3 linked regions of the Diceros bicornis minor genome follow. The protein of the gene in region 1 purifies or fractionates together with the protein of each later gene. This does not show direct contact. Links are inferred from orthologs where the notes say so. Each region holds a gene or a part of one and is shown on either strand. Other genes may lie near its edges.

Region 1 (3,745 bases):
AAACTGAAGAATAGACCCTAGCAACTGAAGGCTGTAGATTTTGATTTTTATTTCTAGCTTGATACGTGTCTTGTCAGATTTCCCCAACGACGCATCTGCTTCTTAAACAAGGTGTTTCCTCATGTGCTTTTGCATCACTGGAGAGATTCAGGAAGCAGGCGAGGTTGGACTGGAATACGACGGAGAATTTAGCTCCACCATCAGAGGGATGGATAGAATTGGAGAGCAAACTGACAAATCCTGGCATGTTTTCCACAGGGTATATTTTATATTTCTAACCAGGGACCTCGGGTCAGTCTCCGAAACTTTTTGTTTTTCTTTTTTAGCGCAGAAGAGACGCTCTGAGCGCCCAAGGGAGTGTCGGCGCGCCCACCCCATTCGCCTGGCGCAGATCCCATTCGCTCCCACGGACCCGTCCGCCTTCCCGCCCGCCGACAGCCACTAACACCGCTCCCGGCAGCCATCGCGCAGGGCCGCACACGGGCCGGGCGCGCACGGAGCATGCTGGGAGTTGTAGTGAAGGAGCCCAGCCACGCCTTCCTTCTATCAGGCATTCCCGCTCGGAAGATCGTAATGCACTGCCCATAGCGGGTTCTCCAGTTTCCTAATCCAATCTAAACGTGACCGAGGATTGCGCCCTCCTGCCACGAAGCGCGCACCGCGTGGGCCCCACGGAGCTCAGTCCCTCCCCTGTCCCCACCCGATCCCTTGACAGCTGCGCCGCGCTCCGAGCGGCGGCCAGGCCGAAAGCGCGCAGGCGCACCAGCCCGCGCCACGCTGGGCGGGCCGAGCGCAAGCGGCCCCGGCGCCGGGGCGCGCACGTAGGCACGCAGAGGCCGTCACGTGGGGCGCCGAGGATCGCAGTGCGCGTGGCCGCGGCGGCTGGTGTGGGGTTGAGTCAGTTGTGAGACCCGGAGCTGCGGACCCAGCGGGCGGCCCGGCGCCCCGCGAGAGAGCGGCGGGCGTCAGGGTTCGGGAGCCGTGAGCTGGCCCCTCGCAGACCTCGGCCGAGCCGGCGCCGCTGTCCCCCACCCCCAGCCCAAACCGCCGCCGCGGGCGCGCCCCCGCTCTGCGCTGTCTCCAATGGCGTCCGCCTCCGGGGCCATGGCGAAGCACGAGCAGATCCTGGTCCTCGACCCGCCCACAGACCTCAAATTCAAAGGTAGGCAGGCAGAGGGCAGCCCCGGGGGAGCGTGCGGGAGCTCGGCGCCGGGCCGCGGCCCCTCCCCCACGCCCGCACCTCGGCTCGCGGCGGCGTCCCCGGGCCCGGCCCGCTTCCCCCCTCCCTCCCTCGGTGCCGCCCGGTGCCGCCTCGGTGCCCGGGGAGCCGGGGGCCCAGCCCGCCGCCGCCATCTTGCGGGCCCGCGGGCGCCTCCCGGTGCTGCCGCGCTGCCCGCGCCGGCGCTTGTCCTTGGCCCGGGCGGCGGGCGGCGTCCCGGCGGGCGTGGTGGGCGGTGACCGAGGCCTGGCGCTCTGCTCGGCGGGGAGGGGCTCGGGGGGGCGCGAGTGCCGTGGTTCGCCGTCCCGGACTCGGTTCCGAGAGAGGGCCCTCCGGCCCCCGCCCGCGCAGAGCGCTGCTCCCACCTTTTCTCCAGTTGCTAACTTGGCTGTCGGGTCCGTGAGCGCGGGAGGCGGGGAGCCGGGAGGTCCTCCGGTTCTGGCCTAGCCGGGCGTGCGGGCAGAGACCCGCGTGCGGCGGGGCAGCTCGCGGCAGCCGAGGGTTTGTGGTAGGTCACTAGTAGACGGCTTCCTGGGCCTCTGATGGCACAGTTCAGCTCACTTTCCGCCTAGGCCAGAGCTGCTATTCGTCGACCCTTGTTTCGCCCCTTGTCGCTTTGCTTTTTTGCTGCGGAATCTTCACTGTTGGTGATTTCTGCCTTTACGTTTGAGGTTTCCCAATAAGCCCCGGAGAAGGCTGATAGTTGTCACTCAGCTCTGGGACGCCGTCGATTTACTTTGTAGCAATGCCCGTGGTAAATTAATAGTCTGACTTGGTGAGCCTTGAGGAATCTAAGGGGCTGTTTGGCCCATTTGTTTTCGGTATGTAGGGTAGTTTAGGCAAGAGAGTTAAACTGAGCAGGTTTCTGTTTACGAATACTTAAAGTGCGTGAAGATCCTAAATAGAAAGCAGATTTCTCCGTGTCTTCAGTTAAGCATAAAGTGAGTCGCCGTTTGGAAGATTCAGTATCTTGTATTTCAATTTGGGTAGCTATGATGAGAACACTTTGTGAACTGTGTAGCCATTCCAGTGCTTAAAACAAAATAAATCCTTTATTGTTGTACAAGACTGAATCCAAAAGAAAAACACTTAGATTGTTTTCCATAGGAAAAGGTAATAGTTTTAGAAATTTTAAAATAGTATTTTCTGGTATTATGAGTGTATTTTATAGCTCCTTTATTTTGAAAGCTTTTTACTGCATTTGCAGATTTCTTTGAGTGGCATTGTAAATGAGCTGTTTGTTAGGTAAGGATTTAGTTTTAAGACAACCCTAAGAAATAGTTTGAGAGGCATTAAGAGCATTTTAGTGTGGCAAGTTTATGTGTGTGGCATGATTTTACATAATTTTAGCTGAAAGAAAAAAATACACCTTTGGGGAATCATGAAATTACCTAACTTAGCTATTATCTTAGGTTTGAGGAATTTAATGTAAACCTTTATGGTATATGTGTTCTTTTGAGAATTTAAGTACTTTGCTTTTACTTTTTGACAGGCTGTTTTACAGAGGAAATTTCCACTACTGGATAACCATTATCTGGGACTTAGAAGCCTTTAAAACCAGTTTTAGGCCAGGAAATGTCCACAGAGTTTGAAGCTTTCTCCCTAGAGAAGTTGTAATGTTGCTGTAGTAAAAGACTAATAATAGCGGAGAAGCAGGTTAAAAAAACAACCCAAAACCCTACCCAATGACATATCCATATATTTCACCTATTTTAGGTATTGAAAAATTAACTATGATTATAGAATAGGTTCTTGTATTATGGGTGAAAGTAATTCACAAGGCACATTTTTAAAAGTTTGGACATCAATGACCACCTTTTTAAATTGACTTTAAAAAAGTGTTTCGTTGAAAAGTTCCTAGGGGGACACATTCACTTGGGCCATTTATTTAGCGAATACTTTAGCTTTGTGCCATCCCTATATTTGATGAAGAGTATTCAGCAATGAATAATTCATTCAACAGGTATCAGCTTATATTGGGATTCAGTGGTAAACAAGGTGGAGAAAAGATTCACAATTTGTGATTTAATGGGGAAAGCATACAATTAAACAGGAGTAAAATGTGTTAGGTTTTATCTTTGCCCTTGAAGAACTCCGAGACTAGTGAGGGAGACAGAAAAGGCATCTAGATGCTATAACAGAGGCAAACCGAGTATAAGGAAAGAGTCCTTTTCCTCCTCATTCCTCCTGCCAACCCCCTCCCCTTTACTTTAGGAAGCTTTCTGGGAAGAGGCTCCTTTTCAGTTGGGGAGGGGAGAGGGTTTGGCCAGGGAGTGGTTGTGTACTTAGTAACCACTGATGTGAGAGAATGTATGGTTTCTCCTTAAATACCCAGTGGGTTGCTGTGTACTTCTATTTAAAGGTGGGGTAATGGGGAGGACTGGAAAAGAGGAGGGGTAGGATGAGTTAGGAGGTGACATTTGGAGTCATTTGCTTCCTTCCTCCTTAATGTTATTCTTTTAGTTCAAGATAGTTTGCTTTGATGGAAACCTTTCTGTATTCCAGTGCACAGTTCAACACTAAAAT
Region 2 (3,745 bases), on another chromosome or scaffold:
GGCTATTGCTAAGCACCAGCTGCGGCATGTATTCAGCCCCTCAGAGCAGGACCTGCGGCTGCAGGCACGAAGGTGAGGCCTGAGCTGGTAGAAGAGGTGGAAGAGATGCAGAAGGCCTGGACATGGGCAGGGGTGCTCCTGTGCTCCCACTGGCCAGGCCTAGCCAGGCTCTCCCGACCCTTTTTCTCAGGTGGGCTGAGACCTACAGGCTGGACGTGCTAGAGGCAGTAGCTCCAGAGCGGCCCCGCTGTGCCTACTGCAGCACAGAGGCCTCCAAACGCTGTTCACGATGCCAGAATGAGTGGTATTGCTGCAGGTGAGGGCATCCTAGGACCTTGGACCCCTAAGCCCCACTCCCATACCCCCCACAAGCACTGCATCCTCACCAGGCCACCTGCCTGCAGGGAGTGCCAAGTCAAGCACTGGGAGAAGCATAGAAAGGCTTGTGTCCGGACAGCCCAGGGTGACAGAGCCAAGTGAAGGCTGCAGCTGCTGAGGGACAACCACCCATGCGATACAACTCACCTTGAGTGTGCCCCTGAACCTAGGGATCTCAGCCCGGCCTCTGCCAGAGCCCCAGCCTCCCAGGTGGTGAACACAGCCCACAGGGTAGAGCTGCTGCCCCATCTCCCCCAGCAAAGCGCTGCCGGCTTCCTGCCCCACCCGGCGGGTAGGCTGAGGGCGCTGCCTCAGCAACCTAGGGCAGGAGGCCTGGGTGGAGGGCGAGGGCGAGGGCCGGATGTGGGGACCCTCTTCCTCTAGCACTGTAAAGCTGGCCTCCAGAAACATGCCTGTCTCCGAGTGGTCCTTTGCGGTCGTCGTCGTCGTTAGGGGAGGGGAGGAAAGGGAGGGCGGGGACTCTGGGAAAGGCCCCCACCCCGCCCTCCCACCCCACTCCGCCTGCGGGCGGACACAGTCCCGGCGCCCAGGTTTCCATTGCGCCGCTCTCCTCGGCGCTCTCCCGCCGCTGTGCCTGGATCGCTGACGCGGCGCCGCCTCGAGACCGTCCCACGGCCTCGCCCGCTCCGCGCTCGCTCGCGCCCAGAGCCGGCCGGAGTCCGGGCCCGACTGGGCCATGTCCGCTGAACCTGAGCTCATTGAGCTGCGGGAACTGGCACCCGAGAAGCGCGCCGGCCCGGGCCGCACCCGGCTGGAGCGCGCCAACGCGCTGCGCATCGCACCGGGCACAACGCGCAACCAAGCAAGGCAGCTGGTCCCGAGCCGCGGCCACCGCTTCCAGACCGCGGAGCCCGCCACGCACACGTGGTGCGACCTCTGCGGCGACTTCATCTGGGGCGTCGTGCGCAAGGGCCTGCAGTGCGCACGTGAGTAGCGGCCCCCGCGCGCTGGTGAAAGCGAAACGAGCGGCCAAGGGGCAGCACTGTCGCTGCGGGTCAAGTTGCGACGGAGGGGGCAGAAGCAGGGACGGGCCCCGCGAACCAGGTCCGTTATCTTTACCCCATCGCGGAAGTCTTTGGGCAGATGGTTTTATATCCTTGCCGTGCTCCATCTGCGTCTGGGGCACAGCTGGACAGAGGTGGTTGCCTGTGAATAACAAGGTGCAGATTTCAAGGTTCTTACCTTTAAAGTGCCTTTGCCCTTCTTGAGAAAGGCCTACCAGTCTCTGAGTCCATATTCCCAGGCCTGCTCCTTCCTGAAGATTCACTTACCTGTGTCCCCTCCAGAATCCTTGGGGTGAAGGGAATTTACCCACCTATGGGAGGGGTCCTGGAAAAAGAATCTTGGGTGGGCCCTCACAAGCAGGAATTTTGTTGTCTTCATTTAGCAAATACTTACTGCAGGCCCAGTCAACCAGGTGCTAAAACATGAAACACAGCCACACACCAGCAGTCCTTCTGCCCTCCCAGGAATCACCAGCAAGCAGAGGTTGCTCTCCCACTGGCTACACACCAGCTAGAATCACTTGGGATGCTTTTACAGCCCTCCAAACCCCTGTGCCTGGACCCTACCTTAGACCTGTTGAATCAAATCACTGAGTATATGAGTGTATCAGCGATTTTTAAACACAGATCATTCTAATGTGCAGCCTGGGTTGAGAATCATGTTCTGGCCCATGTAGGAGCTTTAGGGAAGGTATCCCAGGCCTGTGTGGGTATGGAGACTCTCTCGTCCAGCAGGGAGTCTGTCCTGAATTCTGGGAGGAGCACAGGAGTTGTGACAGAATACAAAGCATGAACAAGGACTGGGACATTGCAGTGTTCCCAAAGAGAAATAAAGTGGCCATGGAGATGAAAAACAGGACAATTTGGGTGTGTGTCAGGCAAAGACAAGGGAGGACTCAAGGATGAGCTGGGGTTTTTTGCCTTTTGTGTGTGTGTGTGTGAGGAGATCAGCCCTGTGCTAAGCTAACATCTGCCAATCCTCCTCTGTTTTTGCTGAGGAAGACTGGCCCTGGGCTAACATCCATGCCCATCTTCCTCCACTTTATATGGGACGCCGCCACAGCATGGCTTGCCAAGCAGTGCGTCAGTGTGTGCCGGGATCCGAACTGGCGAACACCAGGCCGCTACAGCGGAGCGCACGCACTTAACCACTTGCGCCACCGGGCCAGCCCAAGGGGTTTTTTGCCTTAAACAACTGGAATAATAGCAATTTTTGCTGAGATAAACTCTGGTAAGGGTAGGGTGAGGTGGAAGAAAAATGAGTTAAATTGTGACCATGTTGGGTTGAAATGTCTATTAGACATCCAAGTGAAGATACTGACACACAGATTTGACCTGAGGGGGGAGGTCAGTGATGGAAGCCTTGGATCCGGGGTAGGTGAGTGTACACAGCACAGGGCAGTGATCAGGACTGAGCCTCGGACACTCCACCATTAGATCTGGAAGTTGAGACAGAACCAAAGGAGCTGAGCAGGAGCTGCAGGGAGGTGGGAGGAAAAACTGGGAACCAAGGGGAGCAAGCATCAAACGATGCCCAGGACGTGAAGATGCAAAAGGGACGTGATTCGGCAGTGCAGTAGGTTGCTGAGGATCCGGAGCAGGGCAGTTGCCTGGAGGGAAGGGCAAGCCTGACTGGAACGGGTAGAGGAGAGAGTGAAGGCAAGGAATTAGAGTGTATGCAGACCAGTGTTGATAACTTTTGGCGTGAGGGGAGTAAGACAGATGACAACTAGAGGGGGACATGGGTTAAAGATGTTTGGTTTTTTCCCTTCAAGTACATGGGCGGAGAGGGGGGGGCTGACAATGCGGAAGGGGGAAGTTCTGCCCTAGGCGCTAGTGTTGAGCAGGCCTGGATCCCTAACCGCCTGAAGCCTTCCCGCCAGGTTCCAGACGCCAGGGAACCAACACTAGAATCTGTGTAGCAGTGGGCGGTAACGGGGCCTGAGATAAGGCCGGTCATGCAGAGCTTGGCGGGCAACGGCCTTCCCCCTGGGGCTTCTCTTCCGTCCCCGGGACACTTCTCCGAGCTGGAGCTGGGACTCCTCCACCTCACGGCCAGGCCTCTCTGCAGATTGCAAGTTCACCTGCCACTACCGCTGCCGCGCGCTCGTCCGCCTAGACTGCTGCGGGCCCCGGGACCTGGGCTGGGAACCGGCGCTGGAGCGGGACACAAACGTGGTGAGCGCGGGGCCGGGGGCGTATGGGCGAGGCAGGGACGCGTAGACGAGCAGGCCACACTGCAGGTGTTTCTAGGACCGCCCGGCATTACACGCAATGAGCGTTCTAATAGCGGATTTCCCTGCGGCAGAGAGTGGCTAACTCTGCGCGCGGGTTCGAAGGGG
Region 3 (3,745 bases), on another chromosome or scaffold:
AAGATTCTTCTTGTCAAGGTTCTCATTGACCTCCACGTTGCTAATAGTGACGCTGATACATGTAGCACCTCTTTCTGTTCATGCAGCAAATTTCCAGTTTCCCTACTAGACTCTGAGTTCCTTGAAGTCAGGGACTAGATCTACAATACATCTTCATATCCCCAGAGCCTAGCATAGTGATTTGCTTATAGTAGGTGTTTAATAAATGCTTGTAAATGAATGAAGGTGTAAGTTGAGACCTCTTGGGAAAGATTGTTGCAGTAGTAACTCACAACCCACCACTAGTGTAGTGGACAGAAACTAGAAAGAACATCAAGAGACAGGGGTTCAAGGCTTGGCACTGGCAATAACCATCTGTTGTCAAATTCTTTTGGTCTTAGTTTCCTCATCTGCCCTATCTATATCACCAAATTTTTGATACCTCTCTTATTTTAAGATTAAATTTTTTATTGCTGAAGCCGAATTCCTTAGTCCTCTACCTCCAAATTCCTTGTTGTGGGTTGAAAAACTCATTAAATGAGATTTAATTTTTAAAAACTTTTAATTATGAAGAATTGCAGACCCAACAGAAGTAGAGAAAATACTATAAACACCCATGTACCCATTACTGGCTTAAACAATTATCCACTCATAGCTAATCTTGTTTTATTTCTAGCCCTACTCACTTCCTCCTCCCATTATTATCAAGCAGATCCTAGACTGGTCTCATATCTGTAAATACTTTAGTATGTATGAAATATAATTATTAACTGCTAGCTGGCACTCTTCTGTTCCTCAATGGCTTAAAAAGTAAAGCGTTCATTGAACAGCATGTTGTTCTTCCCAGAAACCAGATAACTAGCATGATGATTTTATCTCATGACTTAACCAAACTGTGTAAATTCTTTAAGGGGGGATGAGGGAGGGTGGATGTTACAGCACCTAGCTCAGTGCCTTGCAATCAATAAATAGAGGTTGAATGAAAACTCAATGTGCTTTAGGTTTTTTAATACAATCTTATCCACAGGAATATAGGGCCTTGTCTTATCTCCTTTCTTCTGTTCCTTTTCTGAATTCGTTACAGGGAAATTTCAAACTTAAAGCATTTTTTTTTTCATCTAATGATTTTTGCCTAAGAAGACTTTTCCAAGCCGGACACACTAACAGGGGGCGGTGCCTCCGGGGGCGGGGCCGCGCGGAGGCCCCGCCCCCGCCTGCCCTCCGCCCTCCTGTTCCTCCTCCCCTCGCCCTCCCGCTCTCCTTCCCGGCAGCCCTAGAGCCCGCCCCGGCGCTCCTCAAGATGGCGGCCGATAGTGAGGTGAAGTGTTTTCTCCTTATCTATCCCTGTCTCTAAGTTCGCTCCTCCACGTCAGCGCCCCGAGACTCAATCTCTTTCTTTCCTTCCCTTTCCCGCAGCCCGAGTCCGAGGTGTTTGAGATCACGGACTTCACCACTGCCTCGGAATGGGAAAGGTGAGTGAGTCGTGTCGTTGGTTACGGGTGCCTCGGGCCCCGGCGTCCCCCCGCGGCTTCCCCAACATAGACGGTCCACCTGTGACGCCTGTTAAGACTCCTGGGCCCGCAGGCCTCCGCCTCCTCCCCTCTCTGGTCAGCTTGCAGGCCTCTTCTGCGTCTGGCGTCTGACAAGCCCCAGCTCGCCCCCGTCAGCCAAGCCCTGAGACTCCGGCTCTCAGAAAAAGTTTTGTTTACTCTCAGGCCACTTTCCTTAGACCTTGGTTGTTGCCCACTCGCATTTACAATTTCCGTGGCTACCACTTCCGTTCCACTTTTCGTTTCCGTTTAACTCTTTGTTATTCTAAGCAGTAAATTTCGCAGTGCTTTTTTTCCTCCTGTATACGTCGGTATATCCTTCTTAGGAGGAGGCCTTCAGAGCATTGGTGGTTGTCCATCTGCCACACTCCCACCATCTCCATCCTGTCTTTTAGAATAACCTTTTAAAATAGTCTGCATATGGCTTTGGAACGCTTTGATTCAAGTTGTTGCATTTCAGTGGGTCATGTGCCCAGGCTTTCTGTGCCTATCAAACTCCATTGAACAGCTGAGTGAAATCGTTGTGTCATTGAAATTAGTTGAAAGCCAAGTTTGTGGAGGAGTGATAGCTTAGATGAGAAGTATTCTGTTCGGTGGCTCAGAGACCCTTCAGTTTCTGGGTGTTGTGGTCAGGGGTTAGTTTGTTGCAACGTTTTATTATCTTTCTGGTTGGGAGACAAAATCTGTGGATGTCATGTCATTGGTTGACCTAGGAAAATGTAAAAGATCCTTGCTGGAATAATAATTTGACCTGTGATACCCTGCAGAAAAGAAAAGTTGGTGAGACGTAACTACACTGGCAACGCTTTATTGAGCAAGTACTTTGTATCCAGAATTACACTAATGGAAGAGAACAAAAAACAAAAATCTCAATCCATATGTTTAAACAAACAAAACAAAACAGCAAATAGTTAAATTGTAAGTCAAGTGGTACTAACTATAAAAATAGTAGTTTAAATAAGGATGATATTGTTGTGGATTACAATTGTTGGAGATATTTTCACAGAAAAGATAGGAAATGAGTTGGGCCTTGAAAGTGGGAAGTAGTTGGTTAGACATGAGAAGTTACTGACGTGAGAAGAGACAGGTTAAAAATGAACTTTTGGGACTCCAGGAAGAAATGTCTTTACTGGAGTGAAGTCTGTCCATTGAAAGGAAATAAATAAGATTATTAAGGAAGATAGGACCAGGTTATGGGCAGCTTCCAAAGCTGAGTAAAGGAATCTTTAGATTCAGTGTTTTAAGACCAGTGATTCTCCATCTTCATTGTGCATCAGAATCATACTTTCCATTACGTCTGAGGTGGACCGCAAAATTTGCATTTCTAACAAGTTCCCAGGTGATGCAGATGCTGCTGATCAGGACACCTTGCTTAGAAAGAACCATTAAAGAACAATAGTGAGAGACCCTTGATTTTAGAATGGCAAAGTGATATGGTGAGAGTTGTTTCAAGAGATGAGGCAAAATGAAGGCGAGTGACCTACTTTGGTCCATAGTTAGGTTGGTGATTTCGAGATGAGAGAAAATGAGGATAGGAGGGAGGGTTGTAAGACACTTCAAAGGTTTAGATAGATGTGCTTGATGAAGTGTAAAAGTACAAAGAACCAAACATGAAACTGCAGTTTCTTGCCTCAAAGAATGAAGATATGAAAGTGGCAAAGTGAGAAGAGTGCAGTTTTAGACCTGTTGAATTTAGAATAATACCTCACTGTCTTGAAGGTAGTTAGAAAAATGTAACCTGAATCTTGGAGGGTGTCGGTGAGGAAACATCAGAGTATTGACTGGAAAAACGATCACTTTCCCCTAGTTAAATATTTAAAAATCCTGAAGTGGAATATTAAATCCTTTAATTCTTTATTCGGAAATAATTGTTAACACAATTATGAGATCTACCACAAAGTAGGAAATTTGTTTTTTGGCTTTTATGCTCTTGTTTCCAGAGCGAAACTAGTGTTTTACAATTCCTGGGAAAAGGTAAAACTTTGGAGTCTCTTAAACCTTGAGTTTAATGTTTGAATGAAAGTTTTTGTCAGTATGTTATGAGCCATACAGATAGTTTATTGTGAGGAGTGAGTAGAAGCCCATAACTCTTTTTATCGTTTGTCCATTGAAGAAATATTTATTGAGTGCCCATGTGTCGAGCACAATCCAGAGCATTAGGGATGTGGTGGTCAGTAAAAACAGATGATTTTTGCTCTTCCTGAATGTACAGTCTA

Evidence for each region. Proteins that work in one complex are often made in the same cells at the same time.
Region 2: the proteins of VAPA (region 1) and RASSF1 purify together in Homo sapiens (co-immunoprecipitation; 3 studies listed by BioGRID and IntAct, counting the BioPlex papers as one, with this or other methods). This does not show direct contact. The link is inferred for Diceros bicornis minor from reciprocal best matches to the Homo sapiens genes VAPA and RASSF1.
Region 3: the proteins of VAPA (region 1) and RAB3GAP1 purify together in Homo sapiens (affinity purification with mass spectrometry; 4 studies listed by BioGRID and IntAct, counting the BioPlex papers as one, with this or other methods). This does not show direct contact. The link is inferred for Diceros bicornis minor from reciprocal best matches to the Homo sapiens genes VAPA and RAB3GAP1.

Annotation. Positions count from the first base shown.
Region 1 is NC_080755.1:7,896,229-7,899,973, forward strand, and holds the start of VAPA (vesicle-associated membrane protein-associated protein A), read left to right. Parts: upstream 1-865; 5' UTR 866-1,083; coding exon 1,084-1,162; intron 1,163-3,745. UniProt on the Homo sapiens protein: Endoplasmic reticulum (ER)-anchored protein that mediates the formation of contact sites between the ER and endosomes via interaction with FFAT motif-containing proteins such as STARD3 or WDR44.
Region 2 is NC_080741.1:51,362,993-51,366,737, reverse strand, and holds the start of RASSF1 (ras association domain-containing protein 1), read left to right. Parts: upstream 1-934; 5' UTR 935-1,075; coding exon 1,076-1,325; intron 1,326-3,474; coding exon 3,475-3,581; intron 3,582-3,589; exon of another isoform or gene 3,590-3,745. Other genes in the region: ZMYND10 (zinc finger MYND domain-containing protein 10), read left to right, coding at 1-72, 191-316, 405-480. UniProt on the Homo sapiens protein: Potential tumor suppressor. Required for death receptor-dependent apoptosis. Mediates activation of STK3/MST2 and STK4/MST1 during Fas-induced apoptosis by preventing their dephosphorylation.
Region 3 is NC_080749.1:20,666,602-20,670,346, forward strand, and holds the start of RAB3GAP1 (rab3 GTPase-activating protein catalytic subunit), read left to right. Parts: upstream 1-1,255; 5' UTR 1,256-1,279; coding exon 1,280-1,297; intron 1,298-1,395; coding exon 1,396-1,451; intron 1,452-3,745. UniProt on the Homo sapiens protein: Catalytic subunit of the Rab3 GTPase-activating (Rab3GAP) complex composed of RAB3GAP1 and RAB3GAP2, which has GTPase-activating protein (GAP) activity towards various Rab3 subfamily members (RAB3A, RAB3B, RAB3C and RAB3D), RAB5A and RAB43, and guanine nucleotide exchange factor (GEF) activity towards RAB18.